Linked DNA regions of Drosophila melanogaster. The protein of the gene in region 3 interacts with the protein of the main gene of each other region in a pairwise test. Each region holds a gene or a part of one and is shown on either strand. Other genes may lie near its edges.

Region 1 (4,604 bases), on a different chromosome or scaffold from region 3:
AGGACAGTGGCAGGGGCACAGGCACAGGCGTAAAGACAGGCAACAAGCCAGCACACACGTTTTCTGAATGCACAATTATTAAATAGGCTGACAAAAGGACAACAAGGGGGCGGGTCGGGTCGTGGAGTAGCAAATCCTCTAGAGCGGGCGCCATCGTCGTTTCTACTCGTTGTGGCCTCATCACATGTGCACATTTCGCAGAGAGAAGCATAGAGCGTCCTTTCGCACGGCTCTCTCGTATCGATCCGCAAAACGAGCAAAAGTCAACTGGAAACTGGAAAGCAACCACCAAAAGGAACACATCCTGCCTCCGAGCCAGCCCCCTTCCGAATGCTCCACCTCTACCCATCGGCATTGGTGACAGTATTTCGCACACAGCAAGATGGTCAAAAAACCAGAGTGTACGAGTGGTGAAAGCGGACGAGGGCGCCGCCAGCTCGAATGACTCAACATTTTGTGGTTATGCAGGAGCCACGTGCAAATTATTTTCATTGGAACGTACAGAAAACAAAAAGAGTAAAATAAAGACGAGATACAAAGAACAACACGAAGGTGGTCCAACTCGTCAATGTCAATTGATAGTGAAAGGACTTGCGGGGCAGAAGGAGAACGGCGGCCCGTTGAAAAGGCGTGACACATCACGGACTTGGGTTTCAAAGACAACAACGACGACGACGACCACGACGACACCAGCTGTTGGCAGCTGGTTGGAAAAACGTGCCCCGGATTGACATCCTGGCATCCAGCGCACACTCGCACAATTAAATATTAATGAGCTGAATTAAGTGAAAAACAACGTTAGTTGACTTTGGCTGATCTTCCGGATTAGCCAGCAACTTGTGGCATTAACGGGCCATCACAGCGGTCTTAACTTGTCCAAAATATCAGCCGAATAATTGGAATTTACTTTCATTTATTTCGAGGAAATGAAGGCTGAAACGGCAGTAACACTCTTGTGGGATAAAGCAAACTCAACATAACTAGGGTGTGGAATGCCTGCTAGAGATTGATGAAGTACCCAGAAGAAGCGCGAAGGACGAGGTCAAATGATACGGCGAGGTCGAAAAGAAATAGGGCAGTCCTATCCACTCAGTTTGAGGGAAGTAAAAGAAAAGAAACCAGTCGGAAGTTAGTAAGCATGGAGTTGCTCTTTTCCGTTTGCTGACAGTTCAAGGAATTTCCTTTGGTCAACAAAATTAGGGCAAATAAATTCGCTTGGAGAATTACACTACTGACAGTCTACCATACTAAGTAATACATATATGCCAAGCTGAGAGACTCTTTTGAAGACTGATTTATGCTATATTCTATAACGATTCAAATATTTCAACAATTAAAAAGAAATACAGTCTTCACAATGCGATTTGCCATTTCAAGAATAATCAAACGAAATCCATTTAAACCACAAATTGGCCTGGCATTTTCAAATCGAAATTGCTAGCCAGAAATGTTCAGGAAAGTCAGTCGACTAGCTTCGCAAGGAAGCGGAGCCATATAGGATATATATGGGAGTGAAATTATCGGGCATTTGGATTCCAGTTTAAGCAATTATGTTCAGTCACGTGAGAGCGTGCGGAATGCAACGTAAAATGCAGGATAAGCGGAGTGTGTCAAAACAATGATGAATGTACCGTAAAGGAGCGATTGCTGGAGGGTAGGAACTCCACGGAGCGAAATGTTAAAAGGTACAAATAGCAAGGTCACATTGGCACGCCATGTCAGGTCGACTGAAGTCTGGATTTCGGAGTCACAGTCACGGAAGACTAGAAAGATGGGCCGAAGGATTACCCAGCGCGCATTGTTCGATTCACACTTACCTTTTGCCAGCTTCCTCGCCCTCGAGTCCTTCGCCACCGGCTGCGGCAGCTGCCTCCGGGTCCACGGCGGAGGAGGCCGTGGCCTCCACGGATGTGGATGCTGCTGGAGCGGCTGCGGGCGCATCTCCTGTGGGCGCGGGCACATCCTCGTCGCCAGCGCCTCCTTTAACGGCGCCCACCAGCGAGGTGAATTGATTTGTTAGGCCCGAAAACATGTTGGCTCCTGCTGTTTCTCTCAAGGATTGGTGGTGTGTCCTGACCAGGAAGACGTGCGCACGTTCAACGCTCTCTAGGCTCTCTTGTTCTCGCGGTTCTCACGGTTTTCCACTGCTCTCCCGCTCCTGGCTCTCCAACTTTTACTACACTGGGCAGAGGCAGATAGAATGTCCTGTAATGGGTTTTCCTTTCTTTCAGTGTTTCGTTCGCACCACAGAAGTTTCACTTTCAACGCTCGGCGTTATGTAAATTCTCGCATTTAACTTGAAATTTGAATTTTTCACGCTGCAATTGCTTTGTCCAGATGGCCGAGATGGAAGGTAAAAGAATGGTTTTTATTGCTACTTGGCGAGGCGGTGGGGAAAATCAATAAAACGGACTGGGAATTGCGTGGCTATTGGGCACAATTACACGATAAATACTCTGCGATTCGATCGATTTTCCACATGGACACACGCCACGCTCGAGTTTCTTTTCTTTTTGGGTTTATAGCTATTCGCTATTTGCACAACTAAAGTAATTTGAGTCGCAGCCAATTACCACTTGAGCTTTTCTCTGCCAACTGGATTTTGCTTTTCTTATTTTTTTTCTCTTTGGTTTTCCGTTCGCTGCCAGGAGACTTTTGGATTTTCGGCTGCCCACTTCGAAGGTCCTCTGAAAACTGACGGAGCAGCGGAATGTCGATGTCTCAAATACCGAGCTGGAGTGTCGTCTTCGCTCTCTTGGACTCGGGGATTGGGGATTCTCAGATTCGGATTCTCGTATGCGTACGTTCGCTTTCTCCCTGGAAAAGTGGAGTCCACCCCCTCCTCCGCGTTGCTGGGGCGATGGTATTGCGATTTTCGTGGGTGGGATATTTGTGCGCTGGAATGCGCATGTGTGCTTTGGCGTCGTTTTGCTGCTGCTGGCGCAATTAGACAAACAATTGACACGTCTATGGAAACAACAACTGCGCACCAGTAATGATTATTTTCGGTTTGTTCTCGGCCAGTGCTGCCCATCGAACAGCTGACTGCTGTCGGTCGATAGCTCTACCGATATGTTCGCGCATCTCTGGCTTCTGCAACAGCTGATTTTAAAATTTCCAAGTTCCTATTGCGAAAGTTTGGAAGCCCATTGCAGCATTAGTTTATTTACATCAGCATAATTTTAGCTATAGCTAGATCAAGACATGGAACTTTGTTGATACTTAAAATATTTTTATTTTCAAACCCCAAGAAGCGTGATCTTAAAATCGATCCGATTCTAGTTACCTGGCCTGAGAGTAAAATATTTATACCTAACCGCCTGAGCTAATCCGTGTTAGTTTACAAGAATTCCATTACATTTGTGTTCCTGGAAAGTCGAGCTCTTCTCAGAAAGTGTTTACACTTGTCTTCATGTTCGTAAATCTCTATTTACAGCAACAGACTTTCATTTTTTGTACTTAACACGTAGTTTTTAAATCAATTATCAGCTAATTAGTTCGATTGGGACAACAAGGATACTCAGCGTCGCTGCCGCGATCTGCTCTGAGACTCCTCCGCCGTATCTTGCGCTGCTTCCGTATTTGACGACCTCGGCTGCTCATGGGCCTTAATCTCATGGTCCAGCCGCTCTTTCGCCCGGAAAACCTTTGACTGGATATAGAAGGAGCCGCCTTTGGAGCGTTCGTTGACTTGAAACAGATGCTCGTAGTTCTTGGTGATAGCGTCCACGTTTTTGGGGTCATCTATATTCAGGATCTGCTTGGCTTCCTCCAGCGTCATGCCTGCATTGATAAGTAGGTGTAAATAGTGAAATAGATAGCATGACTGTGTCCAAGACTCACCTGTGCGCAGGTTGGACTCGGCGCTCTTGTCGCCCTGCTTGCCACCACCCGCCCGTCGTGCTGCTTCCTGAGATGCGGCGATCTCCTGGCGCAGCGCCTTGGTAAAGGCTCTTCCCACTGCCTGGGCGCCCAACACGATGATCTGGGCGATATACTTGGCCATGACGGTTTCTTGTATTCCTTGGATTCGTACGTCAAAACACCGGCATTCTATGTGTACAGCTTAATTTTGGGTCTCAGAAAACGTGTCGCTTTAATTACGCAACACCGTAGTGACCCTCCGTGTTCCAATTGTACTATTTAAAAGGCGTCCTTCTAAAAAAATGCATACGTAACTTTTAACACTTAATTTCGAATGTGATTTATAATTGTATTGAGCTACCAGGTAAATTTTAGCTTTTACTCCAGATATTTACTAACGAGCAGGCGGCGAAAAGCAGGTGAAACAGCTGATTGGAGATGGTACACGGCTTTCATAATTAGCTATCGATATATATAATAGCTATATCATCGAGAATCGAAATATTTTTAAAACCAATTATTTAAATATTTTTACCACGACTACTTTGTCATCGATAGCATTTGTCAGTTATCGTTTTTAAAAATTCGAAATTCCCTAGTTAAGCCAATGATTCAGGAACCGAACTGGAAAAAGGACTACGACCGTCTGGTCCGCGAGCATTTGAATGATCAGAATCAGACGAAGTCGCTACAACGACAAATACGGCATTTTCGCTCAAAGCGCGTACGACTCCAGAATG
Region 2 (4,463 bases), on a different chromosome or scaffold from region 3:
CTCCGACTGGAAGTCGTACGCCAAGCGTGCCCACTTGAAGCTCTGGTCCTAAATCGGCCTAGTTAATGGATTAGTTAATGCCTAAGCACGCACCTTTTTGTTTGTAGATCATCCGCCTAAGCGCCAAAAAAAGAAAGTATCGACCAATTATAATGTCAGATCAGATTGGCTGAAATACCGATTCTCTTTGTGTGTGTTTAATCCAAATCCTGTGCTGGACCACCCGAGGTAGCCAGAGATTTTTACCAAACCGGGGGCGTTGCCGTCCAGCTGCAATATAGCCCACGGGCAGTGCTCAAAAATGGCCAAATTAGATGGATTTGGTGGCACCAACAGCGGGGAATCCCAGTTGGCTGTGTCACCAAATTAAAATCTAATTGAAAATCTGCTGCTTAGTAAAAATAATAAATTCACAACATAAAACACTACGAAATGCTTATGATTCAATAGGGATTATTAAAATAGCAATGAAGAAATCTTGAGCCATTGAAAAACATTCTTGATTTATTTTATTTTTATTTTTTATTGAATTCAACATCGATTTGACGCTCGTTTTGTGTGTCAGTATTTGGAGTTTCGGGTTATTACACAATAGCGGGTGATCGTGAGCTCTAACATTAAGTAGTCGTAATTATAAGTAAGTAATATATATCTATACATGGGCCATGATCGACATCCGTCGACATGCTTTTATCTTCAATTGTAAACCGCAGAGTTGGCCTGAAATCATATAAAAAAAAAAACAACTGTGTGTGTGGATTTGTGTACAACTAGGTAAAAGATAAACCCTTTCCTTTGGAATCGCTTGACGACAGTGGCCCCCGTTGTGGCTCCCAAAAAATACAATATGGGTGTGGACTTATGTTTGCGTGTAGATAAACAGCAGCTGCTCCTTTCTCCTGGCCCGGGCGGCTAGTGTCCGAGTTTTGCATGGGCGAATCATTAGAAACTAGCTCGTGCTCCAGCTAATCCTACTGCTCCTAATCTACGTACTCCTGCTTGATAACAACGTAACGCACTGGCGGCGGCGATTTCTGCTCATCACGCTCCGGCTCCAGCTGCTGCCGACGCCGCCAGTGCTCATCACGTTGTGGCCGCCTCTACTTCATGTCCCTTCGACGCTTGATGCTGCCATCGCAGGTGGGCAGATGGCGCTGTAGGAAGCCCTCGAAAACGAACTTGCGGCCGCAACGTACGCAGCTGAACTCGCGCTTCTCCTCCACCTGCTGCTTGTGCTGCCGCAGTGCCTCCGCATTAGAGTACTTATCGCGGCAGGCGTCGCAGGCATAGCGTCTCTTCACCTGGCCAACATCGAAGACGACGGTGAAGTTCTGCGAGCAGAAGGCGCACTGGAACTCCTTGACGACCACCTTCTTGCCGCCGTGCTGGGCGGCCAGGGCCACCGCTTCGGCCTCGAGCTTGTCCTGGTGCTTGTGCGACTCCATGTGGGCGGTAAATTTGCTCTCCTCGACGAACTTGCGATAGCAGCGGGTGCAGCGGAAGGGCTGCTCGCCCGTGTGCCGCATCATATGCTCCTTGAGGTAGGCAACCGAGTTGAAGACCTTGCTGCACACTTTGCACTTGCGTTCATCGGTGGAGATCTCGTTCCTCTGCCGCAGGCAGGCGCGCATATGAAGCTTCAGGGAGCCGGCGGCGCTGTAGCAATTGCCGCAATTGGGACAGTAGAAGGTCTTGTTGCGACCATACGGATCTTGTTCGGCATGGTCGATGGTACTCTCGAACACAATAGAGCCCACCTCGTCATCTTCAACCTCCAATTCGCCGCCCTCGTGGTCGACGGTGACAAACTCATCGTCATGCTCTACCTCCTCGCCATCCTCGAGCTCTTCATCCTCCTCGACCTCCTCGCCATGAATATTGGGCACAATATGAAGGATGGTGTGTGTACCATCGCCCTGTTCGATGGTCTCCTCCTCGACGGTGCTGTTCTCGACCAGCTCCTGCAGGGTCACCGCGTGACCGTTCTCATCGATAATCACCTCCTCGGCATTGACCAGCGCCTCGTGGTCACGATCGCTGAGGGTCACCACCGCAGTTTCGGTGTCATCGTCGTCGCCGGTGGTATAGGCATACGTATATTGCGTCTCCTGGCCGTCATCTTCTTGAACGTGCTCCTCATCCTCCTCGGGCTCCTCCTCGGGATCAACCTCGGTATCTTGCTCGATAAGCACGGGCACGATCTCCTCCTTCACCATGGAATACTTCACGCGCTTGGCATTCATATCGAGTTGGCTTTGAATAAGTTTTGATCACTTACGACCTGTTTTGGCAAAATCTGAAGATCTGAAGATTTCACAGTAGCCTTTGATTTTCCTACTTTAACAATATGATTTTTTCCCGGCGACAACCCTGCTTTGCCTCTGCCTTTGCCTTTGCTTTTGCTTCTCCCTCTCGCACTCGGCTGACGCGCTGTCTCTTTCGCACGGCTGGAATTAATATTGAAATCAAATTCGAGCACCTTATGGCCCAGCTGGATTCGGTACTCAATCCCCGCCTGCTTTATTGCCAACTTCTTTTTGGCGGCCTTTCGCTCTGGGTTTTTTCCACAATAGTCAACACTATGCGTTTTGCAATTATTTGCCGTCCGTCACGATTCTACTTTTGTGGCAACTTCGGCCAAGATGGTGGACACTGGAAGTGGAGCTGCATGCGGTCTGGCCCGCCGCGTCAGCGATTTTTTAGTGCGTTTCTCGCATTTGGTATTTCCCGATGACCGCCGCCTATCGGCACTGTAATCGGCGCTGTTATCGGTAGCTTCCGACAAGCTGGCAGCGCCGGCCGCTTGGCGCGCATTTTGAACGCTGATCTCAACGTATTTTTGAATTTAAAAAAATACAAAAAAATTAAATTCTAGATGTACTTTCTTGTCAAAGTACGTTTTTATTTTTATTGGGATGTATTCGTATGTAGAAAATATAATGGATGTGTATCAAACCGATCATTTAATGCCTGTGATATGTATCTAAGTGAAACTACTGCTGGGTGAACCCCCTTTAGCCCCATATCCCACTGTATTTTCAACGATTTCAAGACATCAAGACGTGCCCTGTCGTGAGGAAGATGTCAGGGAAATGGGCGAGATTATTTTCGCCACTGCATTTGTCACGTCGCCAAGCAATTTCTGCTTTCGGCTGCTCAATGGTCATTAAAAAATTTGCCAGCGCCTCAGCGAATCTAAAATTAGTGCTGCTATATGTGGAATTGCACTTAGAGTTTCTTTTGTTTTTCATGGCATTTCTATTAGCGGACGTGTCACTTCTTTACGCCCCCCTACCCCCACACCTCCAAAAACGACCTTGAACCAATTATCGCCGATTGACGAGCGATCGGCGCTGTCGGAAAAGCTCGTAACTGACTTAGCCGATTGCCAATTGAAGATCATTCAACGAATTCCCATGAATGGAAAGTTTTTGCTTCGTTAACCCTCTAACTACTGTATTTATCCTACATTGCATTATTTCGAAAAGAATACAAGACTTTTGAATACCTTTCGAATTTGTATACTAAAACTGATTATAATATTTAATATTTAATATTATTGTGAAATCAGATAGAACAATCATCTAGATTTAGTTCAAAGATACCGGCATTGAAGGTTCTAAAGTATCTGAGTAAACAAAAATAGTAACATGAAGTGGAAAAGGGTTAATGACGCACCATCACTTGAGCACCAAGATTGCAATCAAAGTATCCCAAGTCAATTGCGTCAGTGGAGGGTACAAAATTTCAAAGTTCTGTATTTATTACTACATGGGGGTTCCGCTGCCCATCCAATCATCAATTTCTGATCTCTGGAGTGGGTAAAAAGTACATTTGTAGATAGATGTATGTATGTAAATGGGAAAATGTGACCGATTGAGCCCAACGTGGCAATCACGTTTTCATTTAGATGAACGGGTGCCACTCACCAATTGCATCAGAATAAATTACGGCTTAAAAAGAAGGTTATACTTCATATTGTGTTTTTATTTTACATCAAGAGTTATGGGGAATCTCAAGTTGAATGTGGTGGATTTTTAGTTAGTTACTACCAAGAATAGGTGCCTTTGAATCGTACAAATATGACGTGTTTTTTTTGTCAAAGGAACATGTATTGCATTCACTGATAAGGATATTGTGGTAGGTTATAGTTTCGGCTTATCGTGTACTTCCAGTGAAACTTTGCAGTTCTACAAATTTCTACAGTAAACTTATCGAGATGCTATGGCAATACATACATACGCGAAGTGTATACTTACGTAAGCACAAGTTTCCCGAATCTTCCATCGTCCCATCCATTTGAATTTCAAGTCTGAAGGAAAACACTGGGTTGAATACCCATTTTATCCGAAAACGTGCTTTTGAGAAGGTCTCAGTTTGGCTTATCAATGTTATGGCTACTTTAAGTATCCAAAGAATATAATCCATACACCATTTTAATATTTCCCATATTTCCCAACTGC
Region 3 (3,198 bases):
TGCCTGGTCCTCCGGCAGCAGCTGCTCTTCTCGGTTTCCCGCTTGTTATCATGTCCTGCCTATCAGGCAGGCCCTTTGGGTCGTCACCAGCCAGTTCTTGGGTTATTAAGATATTCATAATAAGAGCCTCCGCGGGGCCAACGACCAAGTGCTAGCATGGATTAGAGCGCCAACAACCAGTTTACCAGTTGGCCACGGAAGCCGTTGCGCGCCTTAGTCGGCGGTCAATGAAACCAATTAACTGTACTCGAAGTGGACTTGGCTTAGCTTGGCCAAGTAGGTCTGCTCGACCATCCGCGGCGTACTAGCCAGCCAGTCCCCTTGTTTCCCTTGGGCAGAAGAGTAGACCGCAAGGGTCTGGTATCGCTGGCAGATGGAATATCAATTACCTGCTGCTGTCGCCCGCTTCCTGGTGGCGAGACAGAACCAGAAACAGAGCAGAAAAACTAACTGAGATCTCGGAGAGGCCAACTAATTGCAGTATAAGAGCTTCCTAAAACCGCAGAAACTCGTTCTTCGGAGACCACAAACGAAAACAGATGACAGGAAAACAGAAACATACACGGTGTAAATAGGCTGTGCCTTGGCAGCAAATGCAATACATTTCGATTAGATGTGGTTTCACAAAATGTACATATATTTACTTAGATGGTTAACCATGGTTTTGTCGATAGAAAGACCAGCCTGGACCGTCGACGGATGATCATAGTCTACTTCAACTTCTTCTTGGGGCGCAGGTTGTTGGTGTGTCCGCACTTCTTCTTGCGGCAGTTGGTGGCACGAGGATGCAGACGGGCGTAGCACTTGCGGCAGATCATCTTGTCGCAGTTGTACTTCTGGGCCAGAATCCTGAGCGAGGGCTCAATGATACCACCACGCAGGCGGAGCACCAAGTGCAGGGTGGACTCCTTCTGAATGTTGTAGTCGGACAGAGTGCGGCCATCCTCCAGCTGCTTGCCGGCGAAGATCAGACGCTGCTGATCTGGGGGAATGCCCTCCTTATCCTGGATCTTAGCCTTGACATTCTCGATGGTGTCAGAAGGCTCCACCTCCAAGGTGATGGTCTTGCCGGTGAGGGTTTTCACGAAGATCTGCATAATGGCGGCGTCACTGAAAGCAATATAAAACATAAATCAGTACCAAATCGTACGATTTCTTAGCGAACTTGTGCGTCCCAAAGAGCGGGCAAAGATTGGAGGTTAGGTCCGACTTGCTGGCATGTTTCGTTCGACAGAAACAGCTCCACCGGTCGACAAGCACCAGTGTCCATCTTTTTCATATCACAAATACGTCACTAAACAACAATATGTTTACATTCTGCCACGTTATTGCGATTTTTCGTTTATTTTTAATATATTTAATGGAAACTCACCAGAGGAAACGTGCAACCAAATGCTATTCAAAAGAAAAAGGGAAAAGAGAGTGTGGCCGCCGCCGAGCACTGCAAATATACCAAAATACTATTTTTTAAATACCAAAACATTCTAAATGGAACTGTAAAAAATATTCAGACACTCAAATTAATTAATGCAAAATATCTTTACCATTTGAACCGAGACCAACTTTACAATATCAACATATAGTTTTTCGTGTTTTTTTATAGCCCAACGCTACCTCACTGATAGCTAAGCTAATTCAAAATTATATTATTATGGCATGAAAATGCTATTTGCATTGTATACAAATAAATTGAAATCAAAACTTGTATATAGAATTATATTTTAGATAAGGTTCAAATATTACATATTACGCATATTTTTTTTTATTGAAAAACCGCCTAATCGATTTAAATTATATTTTTAATGAATTTATGAAATATTTTTTCAGATATTAAACCTTTTGAATTTATACAAAAATATTCAAGTTGCTGTCCATTTTACTAAGAACAATAATTGAATACTAGGTTGTATAAGTATAAGTAAGTAAGTAAGTATAAGTAAGTAAGGGATATACATTTAAGCCAACGATATTCTAAAAATGTGTATTGCTAAATATGTCACATATAATAAATAAATTTGTATTTGACTTAGTGAAAAAAGTATGTCTTTATAGTGAGAACACCGTGCTTTTCCATTCTGCGTCAAATCGATAGATTCTGAAAAATACCCCTTTCGATATCGAAGTTCTAATGGCTCGATAGGTCCTCAACACTTACCTATCGATGACAGTAGCACAAGTTGTGCGGAAAACGGGAAACTAAGGGAAAAGCGTGGAAAACCCTTGAGAACAGAGCATGTCGAAAGCAGGCGAAGATCAGCCCGCAGCAGAGGGTGCGGTAAGTATCTGAGAAACTTAAACCTTTCTCAACCCCAATCACCTGACAATAGCGACCTGGTTCTCATCGTTTTTTCTAGGTGATTGCGGGCAATGGTAACGCTGAGCTGGCCCAAAATGAAGGCCAGAATGAGCAACAACAACCCCCGCCGAATCAGCCCACCCGCATGGAGTCCTTCTTTGCGATGACCAAGTCCCTCATCCTGCGTGCCCTGATCATCTACTTTGTGAGCTCCTTTTTCCGACGACCTGCGCCCGATGCCGCCAGTCAAGGCAAAAGTGTCGCTAATGCGGGTCCCAAGATCACGGCCTGGAATTACTTCGAGAACGGCACGGACTTTGACCTGCACGTGTGGTTGTCGGAGAATCCCGATGTGGTTAACTTCCAGCAAAAGGCGAATCTCCTCTGGCTACAGAAGGACCTCACCTATGGCGATTGGACGTCGGGCGTCAACGGAGATGGCATTTACACGCACAGTTTGAAGCTTAAGACCAGCCAGCATCTGATGAACAATGGCAGTGTGTACCTACATGCCTTTGTCACGCGTACCGGCATGAGTCCCGATCCCAAAGCCCCGAATTACGCCACCAAAATGGGCCACCAGCAACATCAGCTGAACAAGTTCAAGAAGTTGCGTGTGAACCGCAACTACAACTTGCTGGCCAGCGAGAAGGAGAAGTTGGAGCACGAGCTCAAGCATGCGAATCTCAAGGATACCATCGTGTCTCACTGGCATCCTAATCTCACGGTCAATCTCGTAGTGGACCAAACTAACTGGGCCGAGGGATCTGTGCCGCCGCCACTGGATGACTACGTAAAGTTCGTAGACGGCGGTAAGACCTATCTGCCCATCCTGTTCGTCAACGACTACTGGAATCTTCAGCGGGAGTATCAACCCATTAATGAGACCACTCCCGAACTGG
Region 4 (4,043 bases), on a different chromosome or scaffold from region 3:
ACAGCCCGCTTCCAGGTGTGAGGAATTTGGTCCAGTGTGTTTTTTGTGTTTAGTTTACTTTGTATATTGCGTCAGAATTCTTTTTGCTTTGTACTATATAAAGTATAGTTTTCTGATTGGTCTGTATTGTTATTTTCGAAATTGACTTTCAAACGGGAAACCAAATAAGTATAGCTTCAGTGAAAATGGTACTTTCTGCAAGAACGATAATAGCGTTTCAGTTCGGCGATATAAAAAAAATGATAATAGTAGGGGAGCCGGGTGAACCTCGCCCCCTTACTATAAACGACATAAAGAACGTGGTTCGCGCCAAATTTGGGATAGTGAACTTCGTTTTGCTTAATAAAGAACTGGATTATGTCATACCGGACGAAGATCTGCTCCAGTACCTTGGCCTGATGACACGTTTCTGCAATTTTGTCATAGAGGTGAGGGAAGTCCCCCTGGATAACGGTGTGCATGAGCTTTTAGCGCCTAATGTACCTTCCCCGGCAGCAACAAATTGAAAAAAGACGGCCACACGTACATTAACAAGCACACTTGTACACTTCTTCAAAATCTTTAACATAAATATATTTTACAATATGTACGTACATAAGAGCTTTTTAATGAAATAAAAAATTAATTCTTAGTTTAGTTCATGTCGTCATCATCGTCGTAGTCGTCCATTTCGTCGTCGTCATCGTCATCTTCGCTGGTCTCGTCGGGATCGGACGCCTGGGCGCGGCACTTGGGGCACTGGCAGATGAACACGTAGTTCTCGCGCAAGACCTTGTGCCTCGAGTGGCGACTACGCTCCAGCATGCATTCGTCCAGGTAGGAGATGCAGATCTCTTCGCCCTGTTGAATGGGAGCCAAGGCCTTGAGCACGACAATGTCGTTGGAATAGGGAAATGTGGAGCAGGCATTCGGCACGCAACTGTGGTTGATTTTGCTCTGCAGCAGGTATAGTCCAGAGCCCTCGTTATTCAAGAATTCGCCAGCAACTGTCGGGGCGATGTTGATATGGATAATTGGCTAACAAGGTGATCTGAGAAATAATTACATTCTCCGACTTTGGCGTACAGTCCGTCGATGACCGTGTCGAGCTGTTCCTTTTCCGAATCCGTTAGTGGTAGATCGGACACCTTGGCAACCCACTGGGAAAGCACGCTTGTTGCAATTCCCTGGCTGTTAGTTCCCAGAATGGCCATCAATGTCTTGAAAGCATCCGGTGTTTTGAACTGGAAAACAAAAGATGTATTCGCGTTTTAACGCACTCTGTAAGGATATGCATACTATGGAGAACTCCTCGCCCGTGAAAGCATTGCAGAACGCAAGATACAACTGCTCCATCTGCTGCTCAAAGTTCTCGCCCAGCATTTTGTGATAGATCTTCTGCTCGCGATTCACAATCAGCGACTGGAAGGACTGCAATTGCTCGAGGAACTCCTCCTTCTTGGTGCTCTGCTGGTAAAGAGCCATCAGGCGGACAATCAGCATTATGCTACCCGTCTCGGGCGGATAGTGCATCTTTTTCCAAGTCTCATTCAGTACATTGATGGGATGTGTGTCGTCGGAGTGGAAGGCGCCCATGCAAGCCACGCGGTGGTAGCGCTTCTGCGCCTCCATTAGGCAGTCCTCGGAGCAGTAGCGCACCTTGCACCGTGGGCACTGGGTGAACTGGGCCACCCACTGGGCGGTGGGATCGTGTTGAAGCAGCGGCACCTCCACTTTGGGATCACTGGCCAGGCGGCGCACATTCTCTAACACCGTCTCCAGTGGCCGCATGCAGTGGTCACACGCCGCATAGCCGTAGGCCACGTTCCACGAGAACTGCCGGGACACGAACGGTTCCTCCTCGAAGATCACCTCGTCCTTCGCGAAATTTTTGGTCGCGATCATCGCACGTCCCTGATGAATTTTTTAATGTATTCAGGGATAGTATGGTGACGGGACTTGACCTACCTTGCCGGGCAACTCCCGAATTTCAAAATTATTCATTGTTTACTCGGCTTTTTGGCTTTGTTTTTGCCAATCCAATTGCACGTGTAGTGCAGTGTGGCCGCACCCTCGAGCACGAATATAAAATACTATGGTATTTAAGCCGTTAAGGTTTCCTATAAAATATTTAAAGTTTAATTTCATAAACTTTTCCTTCCGGGCTAAAATCAAGTAATGGGTCATGAAGATGCAACTTATTCAATTAGTTTCTTCATAGATCTAAAAAAACTATAGTCAGTGCCTGATTAGTTGGGTTGATATTTTTTAGATGCAATTCAAAGATTCGTGTAGCTCAAACAACAGGGTGCACCTTGTGTATTTATAAAACCAATTCTAACCGAAATTGACTGAACATGGTTATTGCGATGTCAGTATATCGATGTCTTGAGCTATCGATAGCACAAGGTGCAATTGTCCGAACCAAACGATATACAAATCCTGAGAAGAGAGGAGAAAAGAAAGACTTATTTGGTCCTCGCAAATTGCCACATCCGATTCCCCGGCCTACTAGAAATGGCAGACGAAGCGGGCAGCCAAGCCGATGGCAAGCGGCAGTTTATCTGCGGCGTGATCGAGGGATTCTACGGCCGGCCGTGGACCACGGAGCAGCGCAAGGACCTGTTCCGCAAGCTGAAATCCATGGGCATGGGGTCCAGTCCTTCGTACATGTACGCACCAAAGGACGACTACAAGCACCGCGCCTACTGGCGAGAGCTATACACCGTTGAGGAGGCGGATCACCTTTCCAGTAAATAACCTTTGAACTCAGCTAGTCCTTTTGTTAAGTGCCTTCCATGCAGGTCTCATTGCAGCGGCCAAGGAGGCGGGCATCACCTTTTACTACGCGTTATCGCCCGGACTGGACATGACCTACAGCAGCCCCAAGGAGATCGCAACGTTGAAGCGCAAGCTGGACCAGGTTGCGCAGTTTGGGTGTGAGGCCTACGCCCTGCTCTTTGACGACATCGAGTCGGAGCTCTCAAAGGCGGACAAGGAGGTCTTTCAGACGTTTGCTAACGCGCACGTGTCGGTGACCAACGAGATATACACGCATCTGGGCAGCCCCAGGTTTCTCTTCTGCCCCACCCAGTACTGTGCCTCGCGAGCGGTGCCAACGGTCCAGGAATCGGAGTACCTCAATACCCTGGGCTCCAAGCTGAACAACGAGATCGATATTTTGTGGACGGGGGATAAGGTTATCTCCAAGAACATATCCCTTGAGTCGATTCAAGAGATTACCGAGGTGCTGCGCCGTCCGCCGTGCATCTGGGACAATCTTCATGCCAACGACTACGACCAGAAGCGAATCTTCATGGGACCGTACAGCGGTCGATCGCCGGAGCTTATTCCCCACCTGCGTGGTGTTATGACCAATCCCAACTGCGAATTCTATGGCAATTTTGTTGCCATCCATTCGCTGGCCTTCTGGTCGCGCTGCAGCCTGGACTCGAAAGTGAACAGCTCGCTAAGTGCAGACATAAAACTGGAGACTGAAAACGATGATGACCTACCGGCGGAGTTTCTCTCTAAGAACGTTTACCACCCACGCTTGGCTCTCAAGTGAGTAAAACTAGGTAAATAACGCAAGAAAAGCTAACGAATCATTTAAATCATCTTTAAGAAACGCTATAACGGAGTGGCTACCGGAGTTCTTCATGAAAAAGGAGGCCTGGGGACCGATCACCAAGCCCCAGCCTCAAGTCCAAATGGTGATGCCCATTATTCCCATCATACCCTCCATAAATACCTGCATGAGTCTCACCACCACCACAACCACATCGACGAGCTCCAGGACGGTTCCACCCACGGTCAACACCACTCAACTTCAAGCTCTGGCTGACGTTTGGTAACAAGAGTTTAATTTTATATATAAACAGCTGTATATCAATATTTATATTTTCATTACAGCGTTGTTACCTCTTCCCTGACTCCTATCTCAAATCCAGTAATGAACTCCCTGGTCTCACCCACAAAAGTGATCACGAACGATGACATCATCAATCCCATTCCGACCACAGCGGCCAGCAACATTGAACTACCCAAGAAAATACCGATCTCCG

Evidence for each region.
Region 1: the proteins of RpL40 (region 3) and Sap47 interact in a two-hybrid assay, tested with the Drosophila melanogaster proteins (one large-scale study listed by BioGRID).
Region 2: the proteins of RpL40 (region 3) and CG3847 interact in a two-hybrid assay, tested with the Drosophila melanogaster proteins (one large-scale study listed by BioGRID).
Region 4: the proteins of RpL40 (region 3) and Smyd5 interact in a two-hybrid assay, tested with the Drosophila melanogaster proteins (one large-scale study listed by BioGRID).

The regions. Positions count from the first base shown.
Region 1 is NT_033777.3:15,933,554-15,938,157, reverse strand, and holds the start of Sap47 (Synapse-associated protein 47kD), read right to left. Parts: upstream 3,040-4,604; 5' UTR 2,574-3,039; exon of another isoform or gene 2,328-2,573; 5' UTR 2,033-2,327; coding exon 1,818-2,032; intron 1-1,817. Other genes in the region: blp (black pearl), read right to left, coding at 3,521-3,783, 3,844-4,006; CG5478 (uncharacterized protein), read left to right, coding at 4,472-4,604.
Region 2 is NC_004354.4:6,345,285-6,349,747, reverse strand, and holds CG3847 (uncharacterized protein), read right to left. Parts: upstream 2,646-4,463; 5' UTR 2,244-2,645; coding exon 1,101-2,243; 3' UTR 512-1,100; downstream 1-511. Other genes in the region: ND-B16.6 (NADH dehydrogenase (ubiquinone) B16.6 subunit), read left to right, coding at 1-52.
Region 3 is NT_033779.5:4,225,924-4,229,121, reverse strand, and holds RpL40 (ribosomal protein L40), read right to left. Parts: upstream 1,424-3,198; 5' UTR 1,315-1,423; intron 1,111-1,314; 5' UTR 1,098-1,110; coding exon 711-1,097; 3' UTR 561-710; downstream 1-560. Other genes in the region: CG3702 (uncharacterized protein), read left to right, coding at 2,234-2,275, 2,355-3,198.
Region 4 is NT_033777.3:21,216,726-21,220,768, forward strand, and holds Smyd5 (SET and MYND domain containing, class 5), read right to left. Parts: upstream 2,067-4,043; 5' UTR 1,984-2,066; coding exon 1,948-1,983; intron 1,894-1,947; coding exon 1,279-1,893; intron 1,224-1,278; coding exon 1,046-1,223; intron 987-1,045; coding exon 634-986; 3' UTR 543-633; downstream 1-542. Other genes in the region: Oga (O-GlcNAcase), read left to right, coding at 2,497-2,731, 2,784-3,543, 3,605-3,829, 3,892-4,043.